Coturnix japonica: one gene and its partner. The protein of the gene in region 2 purifies or fractionates together with the protein of the main gene of each other region. This does not show direct contact. Links are inferred from orthologs where the notes say so. Each region holds a gene or a part of one and is shown on either strand. Other genes may lie near its edges.

Evidence for each region.
Region 1: the proteins of RBL2 (region 2) and LIN37 purify together in Homo sapiens (affinity purification with western blotting; 5 studies listed by BioGRID and IntAct, with this or other methods). This does not show direct contact. The link is inferred for Coturnix japonica from reciprocal best matches to the Homo sapiens genes RBL2 and LIN37.

What each region holds. Positions count from the first base shown.
Region 1 is NW_015439939.1:37,030-43,340, forward strand, and holds the start of LIN37 (protein lin-37 homolog), read right to left. Parts: upstream 3,145-6,311; 5' UTR 3,130-3,144; coding exon 2,996-3,129; intron 1,474-2,995; coding exon 1,418-1,473; intron 1-1,417.
Region 2 is NC_029526.1:4,014,234-4,020,934, forward strand, and holds part of RBL2 (retinoblastoma-like protein 2), read right to left. Parts: intron 6,558-6,701; coding exon 6,397-6,557; intron 6,303-6,396; coding exon 6,238-6,302; intron 5,900-6,237; coding exon 5,713-5,899; intron 5,393-5,712; coding exon 5,226-5,392; intron 4,731-5,225; coding exon 4,621-4,730; intron 4,220-4,620; coding exon 4,116-4,219; intron 3,751-4,115; coding exon 3,613-3,750; intron 3,202-3,612; exon of another isoform or gene 3,142-3,201; coding exon 2,977-3,141; exon of another isoform or gene 2,709-2,976; coding exon 2,597-2,708; exon of another isoform or gene 2,017-2,596; coding exon 1,744-2,016; exon of another isoform or gene 1,344-1,743; coding exon 1,069-1,343; exon of another isoform or gene 764-1,068; intron 471-763; coding exon 294-470; intron 145-293; coding exon 73-144; intron 1-72. UniProt on the Homo sapiens protein: Key regulator of entry into cell division. Directly involved in heterochromatin formation by maintaining overall chromatin structure and, in particular, that of constitutive heterochromatin by stabilizing histone methylation.

The sequences.
Region 1 (6,311 bases), on a different chromosome or scaffold from region 2:
AATGAGCCCAAAATGGACCCAAAATGGTGGAAATTGGGCTCAAAATGGTGGAAATTGGGTCTAAAAATGGAGGAAATTGACCCAAAATGGAGGAAATTGACCCAAAATGGGGGAAATTGGGCCCAAAATGGGGGAAATTGGGCCCAAAATGGGGGAAATTGGGCCCAAAATGGAAGAAATTGGGCCCAAAGTGGGGGGAAATGAGCCCAAAATGGACCCAAAATGGTGGAAATTGGGCCTAAAAATGGAGGAAATTGACCCAAAATGGAGGAAATTGGGCCAAAAAATGGAGGAATTTGGGCCCAAAATTGGAGGAAATTGAACCAAAATTTACAAAAATGGGCCCAAAATGTGGGAAATTGGGCCCAAAATTGAAGGAAATTGACCCAAAATGGTGGAAATTGGGCCTAAAAATGGAGGAAATGGACCCAAAATGGCAGAAATTGAGCCCAAAATGGAGGAAATTGGACCCAAAAAAGAGGAATTTGGGCCCAAAATGGGGGGAAATTGACCCAAAATTGACAAAAATGGGCCCCAAATGGAGGAAATTGGACCCAAAAAGGCGGAAATTGGGCCCAAAATGGTGGAATTTGGGCCCAAAATGGTGGAAATTAGGCCCAAAATTGAAGGAAATTGACCCAAAATGGAAGAAATTGGGCTCAAAAAGGAAGAAATTGGGCCAAAAAATGGAGGAATTTGGGCCCAAAATTGGAGGAAATTGACCCAAAATGGAGGAAATTGGGCCCAAAATGGGGGAAATTGACCCAAAATTGACAAAAATGGGCCCAAAATGGCAGAAATTGAGCCCAAAATGGAGGAATTTGGACCCAAAATGGTGGAAATTGGGCCCAAAATGGAGGAAATTGGGGCCAAAATGGAGGAAATTGGGGCCAAAATGGGGGAAATTGGGCCCAAAATGGGGGAAATTGGGCCTAAAATGGGGGGAAATGGACCCAAAATTGGAGGAAATTGACCCAAAATGGGGGAAATTGGGCCCAAAATGGGGGAAATTAGGCCCAAAATGGGGGAAATTGGGCCCAAAATGGGGGAAATTGGGCCCAAAATGGGGGAAATTGGACCAAAAAGGAAGAAATTGGGTCGAAAATGGGGGGAAATTGGGCCCAAAATTGAAGGAAATTGACCCAAAATGGTGGAAATTGGGCCTAAAATGGGGGAAATTGGGCCCAAAATGGTGGAAATTGGACCCAAAAAGGTGGAAATTGGGCCCAAAATGGGGGAAATTGGTCCCAAAATGGGGGAAATTGGGCCCAAAATGGAAGAAATTAGGCCCAAAAAGGAAGAAATTGGGCTCAAAATGGCGGAAATTGGGGGATTTCTTGGGGTTAATTAGTGTTAATTAAGTCTGTGTTAATTAATGATGTTAATTAAGATGTTAATTACGATGTTAATTACTCACCTGGTTTCTCCACCTTCACCTTCAGGGACAACATGGCGGCGTGTGGGGGATGGGACCTAAAAACCCCATAGAAACACATAGAGACATATAAGGACCATTAGGGACCCATAGAGACCCATATAGACCCATTGGGACCCATAGGGACCCCATAGAGCCTCATAGAGACCCCATAGAGCCTCATAGAGACCCCATAGAGACCCCATAGAACCCTATAGAGCCCCATAGAACCCTATAGAGCCCCACAGAACCCCATATAACCCCATAGAGCCACCACAGAACCCCATAGAGCCCCATAGAGCCCCATAGAGCCCTATTAAACCCCATAGAGACCTATAAAGCCCCATAGAACTCTATTAAACCCCACAGAACCCCATAGAGCCCTATAGAACCCCATAGAGACCCATAGAACCCCATAGAACCCCATAGAGACCCATAGAGACCTATTAAACCCCATAGAACCCCATAGAGCCCTATTAAACCCCATAGAGCCCTATAGAGCCCCACAGAACCATATAGAGCCCAATAGAACCCCATAGAGCCCCACAGAATCCCATAGAGCCCCACAGAATCCCATAGAGCCCCATAGAACCCCATAGAGCCCCATAGAACCCCATAGAGCCCCATAGAGCCCCATAGAGACCCCATAGAGCCTCATAGAGCCCCATAGAGACCCCATAGAGACCCCATAGAACCCTATAGAGCTTCATAGAGACCCATAGAACCCCATAGAGACCCATAGAACCCTATTAAACCCCATAGAGCCCCATAGAATCCTATTAAACCCCATAGAGCCTCACAGAGACCCCACAGAACCCCATAGAACCCCATAGAGACCCATAGAGCCCTATTAAACGCCATAGAGCCCCATAGAACCCTATTAGACCCCATAGAGCCCCATAGAGACCCCATAGAGCCCTATTCAACCCCATAGAAACCCATAGAACCCCATAGAACTCTATAGAGCCCCACAGAGCCCTATTAAACCCCATAGAGCCCTATTAAACCCCACAGAACCCCATAGAGCCCTATAGAATCCCATAGAGACCCATAGAACCCCATAGAGTTCCATAGAACCCTATTAAGCCCCATAGAGCCCCATAGAACCCCATAGAGCCCCATAGAACCCCATAGAGACCCATAGAACCCCATAGAGACCCATAGAACCCCATAGAGACCCATAGAGCCCTATTAAACCCCATAGAGACCTATAAAGCCCCATAGAGACCTATTAAACCCCACAGAACTCTATTAAACCCCACAGAACCCCATAGAGCCCTATAGAATCCCATAGAGACCCATAGAACCCTATAGAGCCCCATAGAACCTTATTAAACCCCATAGAACCCCATAGAGACCCATAGAACCCTATTAAACCCCATAGAACCCCACAGAACCCCATAGAGCCCCATAGAGCCCTATTAAACCCCATAGAACCCCATTAAACCCCATAGAGCCCCATAAAACTCCATTAAACCCCCCAAAACCCCCATTTTTGCCTCTTTTCCCCCATTTTTGCCCGTTTTTCCCCATTTTCCCCCATTTTTGCCCGTTTTTTCCCCATTTTCCCCCATTTTTCACCTCCCTCCCGCCGCGTCTCCCGCCTCGCGCGCCGCCTCCTCAGCTCGTCTCCTCGCTCTCTCATTGGTCGCTTGCCCCGTCCGTCCGGCTGACAGCCAATCAGCACCAGAGTCCGCGTTCAGAGGGCGGGACATCGCTGCCCTTTACCCATTGGTCTGTGATCACGTCCGTTTTACCTTTTAGCCAATCGAAGCACGAGCTGTTGTTTAGAAGGCGGGGCGTAACACATTGCGCCTTTCCATTGGCTGCTCACCGCGTCCATCTCTTCATCCCAACCAATCACCGCTCTCATCTCCACACAAGAAGGCGGAGCTTTCTCTTTCAACCGTCCCGCCACTCACTCCGCCTTCCCATTGGCCGCACGCCGCGTCCATCACAACCGACAACCAATCAACACGCGTCTCATCCCCTGGGAGGGCGGGGCGCGGGCGCCATGTTGGGGCGGGCGCCATTTTGGCTGCGCCCCCCATAGGAGTCGGATGGAGGTGGGGGGCGCTATGGGTCTCTATGGGTCTCTATCGGTCTCTATGGGGCCTTATGGGGCGCTATGGGGCTGTATGGGGTTCTATGGGGTTATATGGGGCTCTATGGGGTTATATGGGGCGCTATGGGGCCCTATGGGGTGCTATGGGGCGCTATGGGGCGCTATGGGGCTCTATGGGGTGCTATGGCGCGCTATGGGGCGCTATGGGGCTCTATGGGGCGCTATGGGTCTCTATGGGGGCGCTATGGGGCCCTATGGGGCGCTAGGGGGCGCTAGGGGGCTCTATGGGGTTCTATGGGGTTCTATGGGGTTATATGGGGCGATATGGGGCGCTATGGGGCCCTATGGGGCGCTATGGGGCTCTATGGGGCGCTAGGGGGCTCCATGGGGTGCTATGGGGCGCTATGGGGCGCTATGGGGCTCTATGGGGCGCTATGGGTCTCTATGGGGGCGCTATGGGGATATATGGGGCTCTATGGGGCGCTATGGGGATATATGGGGCTCTATGGGGCGCTATGGGGCCCGGAGCCCCCCCATTCTACATCGCTTCTGTCCCATAGGGGCTGCAAGAGAGAACGGCGGCGCTGCTGAGGAGGAGGTGAGAGCCCCATAGTGCCCCATAGCTGCCCCATAGACACCCCATAGCTGCCCCATAGCTGCCCCATAGAGACCCCATTGATGCCCCATAGCTGCCCCATAGACACCTCATAGCTGCCCCATAGATACCCCATAGAAGCCCCATAGCTGCCCCATAGACACCCCATAGTTGCCCCATAGACACCCCATAGCTGCCCCATAAATGCTCTGTATTCCCCATAACTGCCCCCTAAGTGAGCTCTTGACCCCATAACTGCCCTATATGTGACCCACAAGTGATCTATGGGCCCCATATCAACCCTTTAAGTGCCCTATAATCCCCATAACCACCCCATATCCGCCCCATAAGTGAGCTATGTGCCCCATAACTGCCTTAGGAGACCCCAAACTGCCCCATAACTGCCCTATAGCCCCTATAGCTACCCCTTAAGTGAGCTGTTGGCCCCATAGCTGCCCTATATGTGCCCCATAAGTGCCCTAAGACCCCATGACAGCCCCATAGCTGCCCCATAAGTGAGCTGTGTGCCCCATAGCTGCCTTAGGAGACCCCAAACTGCCCCATAGCTGACCTATAGCCCCTATAGCTACCCCTTAAGTGAGCTGTTGGCCCCATAGCTGCCCCATAAGTGCCCTATGACCCCATAGCTGCCCTATATGTGCCCCATAAGTGCCCTGTAGACCCCATAGCTGCCCCATAACCCCCCCACTCTGCCCCATAGTGAAGCTGTGCTGAACCAACACCCACGGACCCCCCAGACCCACCCAGGTAAGGCCACGCCCCCTCCATTACAGCCAATAGGAGGCTGGGGTGGGCGGGGCTTAGCTTGGCCACGCCCATATTGCCATATATGGAAGAACCAAGTGACTGGCCACGCCCACATTGCCATATATGGAAGAACCAATGGGGATATTCCGTTAGGCCACGCCCCACACTGCCATATATGGAAGAACCTGTTACCATATATGGAATGGGAGCTGAGGGGGCGGGGCTTCACCTCCCCTATTACCTTATATGGAATGATTTGGGGGCGTGGCTTTGCTTTGGCCACGCCCCCATTACCATATATGGAACTAAGACTGAGGGGGCGGGGCTTCACCCTCACATTACCATATATGGAATGACTGGGGGCGGGGCTTGGCTTGGCTCCGCCCACATTGCCTTATACGGAAATCAACCTATCTGACCACGCCCCCTTTTGTTGTAGCCCCGCCCCCTTGTGGGCGTGGCCTGCAGGGCGGTGGGCGGAGCTTGGATCCATTGCAGCAATGGAGAGCCAATAGGAGGCGGGGACTGGCCGAAGCTCCGCCCCCTGTGACGTCAGCACGGAGGAGGAGCCAATCGGATGAGGCGGTAAGGGGGCGGGGCTTAATGGAGGGGTGGATCTATGGGGCTGAGGGATCTATGGGGCTGAGATGTGGGTCTATGGGGCTGGGATCGGGGATGTAGATCTATGGGGCTGGGATGGGATCTATGGGGCTGGGATGTGGATTCTATGGTGCTGGGATGGTGGGATCTATGGGCTGGGATGTGGATCTATGGGGCTGGGTTGTGTGATCTATGGGGCTGAGATGTGGATCTATGGGGCTGAGGGATCTATGGGGCTGGGATGTGGATCTATGGGGCTGGGATGGGGATCTATGGGGCTGGGATGGGGATCTATGGGGCTGAGATGTGGATCTATGGGGCTGGGATGGGGATCTATGGGGCTGTGGATGGGGATCTATTGGGGCTGAGATGTGGATCTATGGGGCTGGGATGTAGATCTATGGGGGCTGGGATGGGGATCTATGGGGCTGGGATGGGGATCTATGGGGCTGGGATGTGGGTCTATGGGGCTGAGGGATCTATGGGGCTGGGATGTGGATCTATGGGGCTGGGATGTGGATCTATGGGGCTGGGATGTGGATCTATGGGGCTGAGATGTGGATCTATGGGGCTGAGATGGGGATCTATGGGGCTGGGATGTGGATCTATGGGGCTGGGATGGGGATCTATGGGGCTGGGATGTGGCTCAATGTGTTTCTATGGGGCAGGCCCTCCCTCCATCGCCGTGGGGCTGCGCCGTGGGGCAGAAAGCGGCCGCCATTGAACTGCTGCAGGAAGCGCTGGGTGAGAACAGAGCACTTATGGGGCAGCCCCACACTTGGGGGTCAGCCCCACACTTATGGGGCAGCCCCACATGTGCTGACCCACGTCTGCTCTGCCCCATAGATTCGGATGAGGAGGAGGCGGCG
Region 2 (6,701 bases):
AGCATTAGATGATGTCATATATTAAATGCCTCGTTCTGCTTTGGGAACAGAGAGATTTTTGACTGTACTTACGTGACTCTTGGCTTGTGGTTGTGTCCGGTAGCAGCGCATAATGTTCTGAAAGGACCTGTCTTCCTTAGTAACCTAAGAAGAGAGATTATTAGTTCTTCTCTGGTTGTTTTTAGTTGGTGTTTTCCCTCCCTGTTTGGTTTGTTGAGATTGTTTTTGCAGGTTGTTTGAGCATTCTCTGGCCTACCGAGCCTTAAAAAACACGCTGTTTTTATTCAGCTTACCTTAGCCATTACGTAGATAGCACACATCAGCAGCTGATCCAGATGCCTGTCCATCATGATTTCAGGGCAGTGCATCAAGGAATACTCAAAACATGTCCAGACTTTTTTCCGCAGCTCATCAGATATGTCCAGTTTGACAGAGAGATCCCGCAGACGAACACTAGCTAAATGATAGACCTGTAGGAAAGGAGACAGCTAAATGATACACCTCTAGGAAAGGGACCACATCTACCGTGCTTGTCTTGTCCAAACTGAGCTCTAACTTGGATGTGAGTCCTTTGTAGAAGCCATGCAAGTGATAAACTAATGACAAGTACTGAAATGAGCTGCTTTTGCTTACAAGATTAAGACACTGCTATACTGGTACTGATGCTACAAAAGCATTTGTTTTTGAATTCTGCAGTTATCTGGAAATACAGAAACCTCTGTATTGATTAAATATTTCCAAAGTAAATTTCTCTTTCTTTAAGAGCCTGAAAGAAGATGGACACGTTTAAGCAGCTGCTGGCCACAGATGTCAATCTGCTTGCCAGCTAGTGACAGCCGTACTGTTCATCTACCCTGACAGCGAGGAAGCCCTGTGCAGGAACACAGCTCTTCAGGTATGCATCTGATCAGACAAAACATGTTATCTTTGAAGCTAAATATTCTCTTATTAATATTAGCAATAAGGAGATATTTTAATATCACAGGAGAGCTACCAAAGATATTAAAATATCACAGAAGAGCTACCAAAATACAAACTAAACAAAGCACGAATTAGGCTGAAAAGTACCTTTCTAAAGAAGAGGGAAAGCGAGCCCATCTTCCGGGACCGAGCAGCTGTGGCAGCAGTGAGGGGCTGGGCTGGCCTTGGCTCTCCAGAGGTGATGTGCTGAACAGTGACCTGTCCTGGGAGCTGCAGCGCTGCCCCCGACATCTGAGTGCTCAGGGGGCCCGTGAGAGCCTGGGCGCTGAGGGGCTGAATGGAGCCAGAGACTGCCTGCGGCTGGGCCCCAACATTGACCTGCACTGGGAAGAAAGTTATTCCTCCATTTTCATTGGCGATACCTGTAATTTAAGAAAAGAGTCTGACATAAGAGCGAGTTGTAGGGGGTTGTTTAGTGTGGATGGTGTTTCCTGTTACAGCTTTTTCTTAATAATTCAGTGTACCTTACATTAATTGATTATAATTTGTAGTATATTATAGATAAGGAAACAAGAAGATAACGGAATTGAACTAATCTTTAATTATAACGTCACTTTCTTCCAGCTGAGGAAGCAAAGCTCACTGAAAAAGTTGTTGTATTAACAGAGTCACTGAGCATCTTTGTGCCGTCTCTAAATTCTGCTCATCTATTCATACCTTCTTAAGCCTGCTTTCCTGCTCTGGGCGTGCTGTTTTCCCCCACATCCCCTTACTGGATATTGGACAGAAATCAGCCTGATCTGACAGCAGCTTTTCTCTTACCTTGTACAGGTATGGTCACAGTTTGCCCATTATTGGCTGTCACGGTGGCAGTTGCTACTGTAACCAATGTCTGGCCAGGCACTGGAGTTACTGACACGGTGTCAGGGTTCACATTCTGCACAGGCACCGTATTTACCACGGGCTGCTGGGCAACTCTGACTGGAGTTGAGGTGTCAGAGGGATTATCGTTATCGACAAACAGCCTCCTCCTCGTAGGATGCGCTGTAGGAGAGCTGTATCTGTCATACAGGGTTGTAGGGGAAGATGAAATGCCTGTGGGTTTAAAAAACAAAAAGAAAACAATCTTGTTGTAAAATCCCTTATTATACAAATAGATAAAAAAGAAATCTGATGAGACCCCAAAGATGACAACTGGAAGCATTTAAAATTAATGTCTACATCTGTGGCTCACAGATTATGAGATTATTTGATCTCATGTAACATGGCACTGAGTAGCTTTTTCTCAGCAAATGCGTTATGCTTTAGTTCCTCTGTAAAAAAAAATCTGAAGCCTCACAGAGCTGAACATACACTGGAGCTTCTAATCTGGTGTAACAAACCAAGCTGCTGAGCAGAGCTGATGTATTTATACATGTACATGTGTGTACACAGATGGTGTTAATAGACACAAACTCCTGAAACCACTGACACGGGACTGTTCTGATCTGAAATAAGGAAGGTTTCAGTCTTAGACATCTGACTTAACTATGCAGGTTACAACAGAAATAGCATTTACAGGTGCCTGATTGTACAGTAACCACTAGAGCAGCTTCCTTCCTGTATGCCATTTAGATTGTAAATTCAGGTCACAGTGTAGGAGTGATCAATACGTTGTGCTTGAAAAATAGCTCACCTTTTCCCAGGCCTCCACTTTCAGCTCGGACCTCATTTAGTCGTCTTGGTGTCAATGGAGAACTGACAACACTGCTGGCAGCAGATCTCTCGAAGTACTGAGGTGGCATGACCTAAAATAGTTGTACTTTTATCAGTGCAGCTGTAGCACAAATTCAATGCACAGCTGATTTTTAGAACTTCTAGTCTAAACATGTTGAACAGTGAAACTATACAGAAGAAAAATGAAGAACACTGAAAAAATACTGTAACCTTAAACTAAAAACTGTGTAAGTCTGGGCATGCGAAGCCTCTCCTGCAAGAGCTGATGTCCACCCTCCACCATTCTGCTGAACAGGAGCCCCACGTGAGCCATGTTACACAATACAGAGCAGCGCTCACCTCTTCACAGCTCGGAACTTTGTTGTCGTTATCTCTGATTCTGTCCCACAGGATGGACTCCTGTTTCCAGGCCATGCTTTCCAAGATCTGTTCTTCAATATGATTAAGGTGTTTCACAACTTCCCGACAAAGGCCATCTTCTGCTCTAATGAAAACCTCAATTACCTGTAAAGCAGACAAGGATGAAGTCCATGTAATACTGAATAAATCAGTGACTGAGTATAACCTCTTTGTTTTCATAGATTTCTTCTTACAATGAAATGAGATCCTAACTTCTTCTCAAGGAAGAGACAAGAACAATTGTTAGACTGTGTCAGTGTGGTTCAATTGGGCTGCAAGTTTATCTTCCCACATAGCAGTGAATGCAGAACAGCTGCAGCAGCAGCTCAGGATCCCTGGTCCCTAGTTCAAGATAGGTGACAATTCATTAGTCACTTGGACAAACTCCTGCATTCCACTGATTAACAGCAGTCTGATTTTTAGATGCCCAAGCCAGCTGTAAAGTACTTTCAAGACAAAAAGAGGCAAAGCTAAGAATGAAGTTAGTTCACATTTTAGCATTCAGGTAAAGAGATTATTTAATACAAGTTGAGTACGCAGGGCTTGATCAACATTTCTAGCTATTAAACACTTTACCTTATAAAAGTGATAAACTGGAATGTCGAATATTTCTGTGATGAAGGGAAAGTTTCCAGGCTGCTTGTATGTGAAGGTGACGATCTCAAGGCAGCACGCCAGCAGGGAGCGATGGAACACGTCTTGCTCCAGTACAGCCTGCAAGAGAGTTGTCTGTTTTAATGCTTCATCTACAGTGTAACAACACAACAGGATCATGCTTTCTATTCTGCCTCCACAGCAACATTACCCAGCTTTTAAACATGGGATTTCCCTTTGTACCTGATGGAACAGAATCCAAATGAAGACATCTTTACTCTTTATAAATTTCATATACCATTTTTGTTCTCAAACAAACAATTTCTTGTAGTTTTCCTTCCATTCAGGTACACCTTCCAACTACCTGGGAGATTTACTCATTTAAAATAGCAGTATGTAATAAAATATTATAAATATATATCAATATTTCCTTTTTTGTAGATCCAACTTGAAACATAAGGTGCAATTGGAGTAGTTGTCCTTACAGATAAGTCAGCGTCTCCCAGTCTCTTCCTCTCTTGCTCAATGATTGCCTCCAAAACCTTGTAGTAGAGCACCTCAGCACGACGGAAATGCTTGCTGGCCACATCTGTAAACACAAATAATATTGTGAACTGCAGTAAAGGTGTCATCATTCATCTTAAACTACAGTGATAAAGCAGCAGCTTATTTGCTTGTGTGGACTCCTGTGCAGCTGTGACAAAAAGGCACCCTTGAGAGAAGAACAATTCTGAGTGCTTTTCTTTCCACCCTCCTGTAAAACATCATAGAAAAATCATCAAGTCCCTATGATTTATGCCAAGTATGATTATGGAAGTTTATATAGGGTTGAAAGTTGCCCTACTGTAAGACTAGCAGGCAAAGAGAGAAGAAATAGAAAAGACTCTTGTGCTAAAGCACAGCCTCTACATAAGGCAGAGTTTACTTGGAAGAGATCAGTGTTTTTAAATACATGTGAATTCCTGTTTATGTAAGTAAAATGTTTCCCACCTTTGGACAAATTACTGAACTCTTCTTCAGTCTGCATGCTCTGACAATACACTTCATACATTTCTTTGACTCTGTTTGCAATAGACTGTGAGGGATCTCTGGAACACGCCCTGAAAATACAAGCTAGTTTAAGTGTTCTATTTCTGCTAAGACAAAACACAAATACACACACACCAAAAAAACCTACAATAGGATTAAAGCATGAAGCTGTAAATTATCTTTGATAGACAGCAATGCAAACACACCCACACGTGCCTTGCTGGAAATGCACTGTGAGACATCCACAGCAAATTCTACTGCAGTGAGCGTCAACTCGTCATAAGAGTTTAATACTAAACAACGTATTCCAATGTGAATTAATAAGAAAAGGCTTGAAAAAATTGCAATGGCAGTTTGCTGTTAGTGAAGCTCCAAATTTGGGTGTTGTTATCACTGTCGATCTCTCAAGGATAAACGTGCAGAAATAAAGACAAGAGCCTTTCTGAAGCTGAATGTCCCTCTGGCTCCTATTTCACTCCAGGCTTCCAACACTTTACCTTTTAAGTTACGCTATTTCACATTTGTTATTATAGTTTCTAACTTTTGTAGCTAAGCATCAAAGTTACCTGAAGATTTGCTCCAGGTTTTCACTGGGGGCATTTTTCAGCCCCGCCAGCATGGTGTGAAGGCGGCTCAAGCTGTACGTTGCTATGGAAATGGGTGTCACATAGGGGTTGCTCTCCTTAATGTACTTGCGGCCAGTGAGGGGGGTCGACATCCGAAGCGATTTAGACTAGAAAGAAAACAAAGCATCTCTCTGTACATTATTACAGCACTCAGACCTTGTAAGAGACTTAAAGTGTCAGGTGCTAGAATTGTTTCTTAGCTGGTTACAATATATATCTATCTATGAAAGGAGAGCTGGAATCAAACAACCCAAACCAGTTCTCTCCCAGTAACAACCATCAGCATCAGGTCTATCTGTGGCTTGGATGCCTGTGTCAAATACTAACACAGAAGTATCTGAGCAGTGACAAAATGACCTCACGCTGAAACGCCACAATTGGACAACTCCTTCTCCACAGGAACATCAAAGGACTGTGCCAGACTCACTCTGTCAAAGTGCTGCTGTAAATTATGCTTCACTTGTACTCGCTCAGCTGTTTCCATTCCTGAGGGTGTATTTAAGCACCGTGTGAGAGTTCCAATTTCTTCATCTGCATCCTCCCCGAGGAATATTCGCTCATCGAGGTTTCCTACTGACAAGACATACTCCTCATAGGCCTTGTTGATGGCTTTGCTACAGGGGAAAAGAGAAAAAAAGCCCTTTAGTTTAGACAGCGCTTTCACTACCTGCTTTCTGACTGAACACACTTCTTGGCCTATCTGAAGGCCTCAGAACTTGCTTTTTCTTCCTAACGCTTTACATCGTATAGAAAAGACCATGGAAACATGAACAAGAGCAGACATCGAGCAATGCTATGCTGAAAAGGCCTCAACCAGCAAAGAGCTGAAATGCCTTTTAATATAATATATAAATAGTAATATATCTATAAATTAACTAGCTAGTATTAGTGATAAGATACAGGTAATAACCCAAAGGGACACAAATGCAGACCAAAGCACAAGCTGACTCACAAGCTGTCTCCAAAGTTTCCAGGATCCAGAAATCCAGTCAGATTTTCATCTTTTCCTTTTAAGAGCTGAAAGAGCAAAGAACGGAGACACGGCAGTCGTTAAAGTTCTGAAGACAACAAGTAGAGAAGCATTTTCTGCATCCTGAATGCACCCACCAACCTTCTTGTCAAAAAGTTTCCGAATGTACGGCTTCCAAAAATGCTCCTTGATGCCTTTTGCTTCTAAAACTAATCCGTAATGTAATGAACACAGCTTTTCAATGATGCAGGGGGGGTCAGATGATGTTTTATAATCCTTACTGTGAAAGTCTTCAGGCAGACCTATAGAGAGACAAAGGAAGTACTGTTTGATTCCGAATAGTCATACCTTAGTGAACTCACATTCTTTGCTATGATGCCCATGTAGCCTGAAATTAAAACAGAAAACTATTTTGTCCCCTCGAAAGAAAAGCTGTACACCCTCAA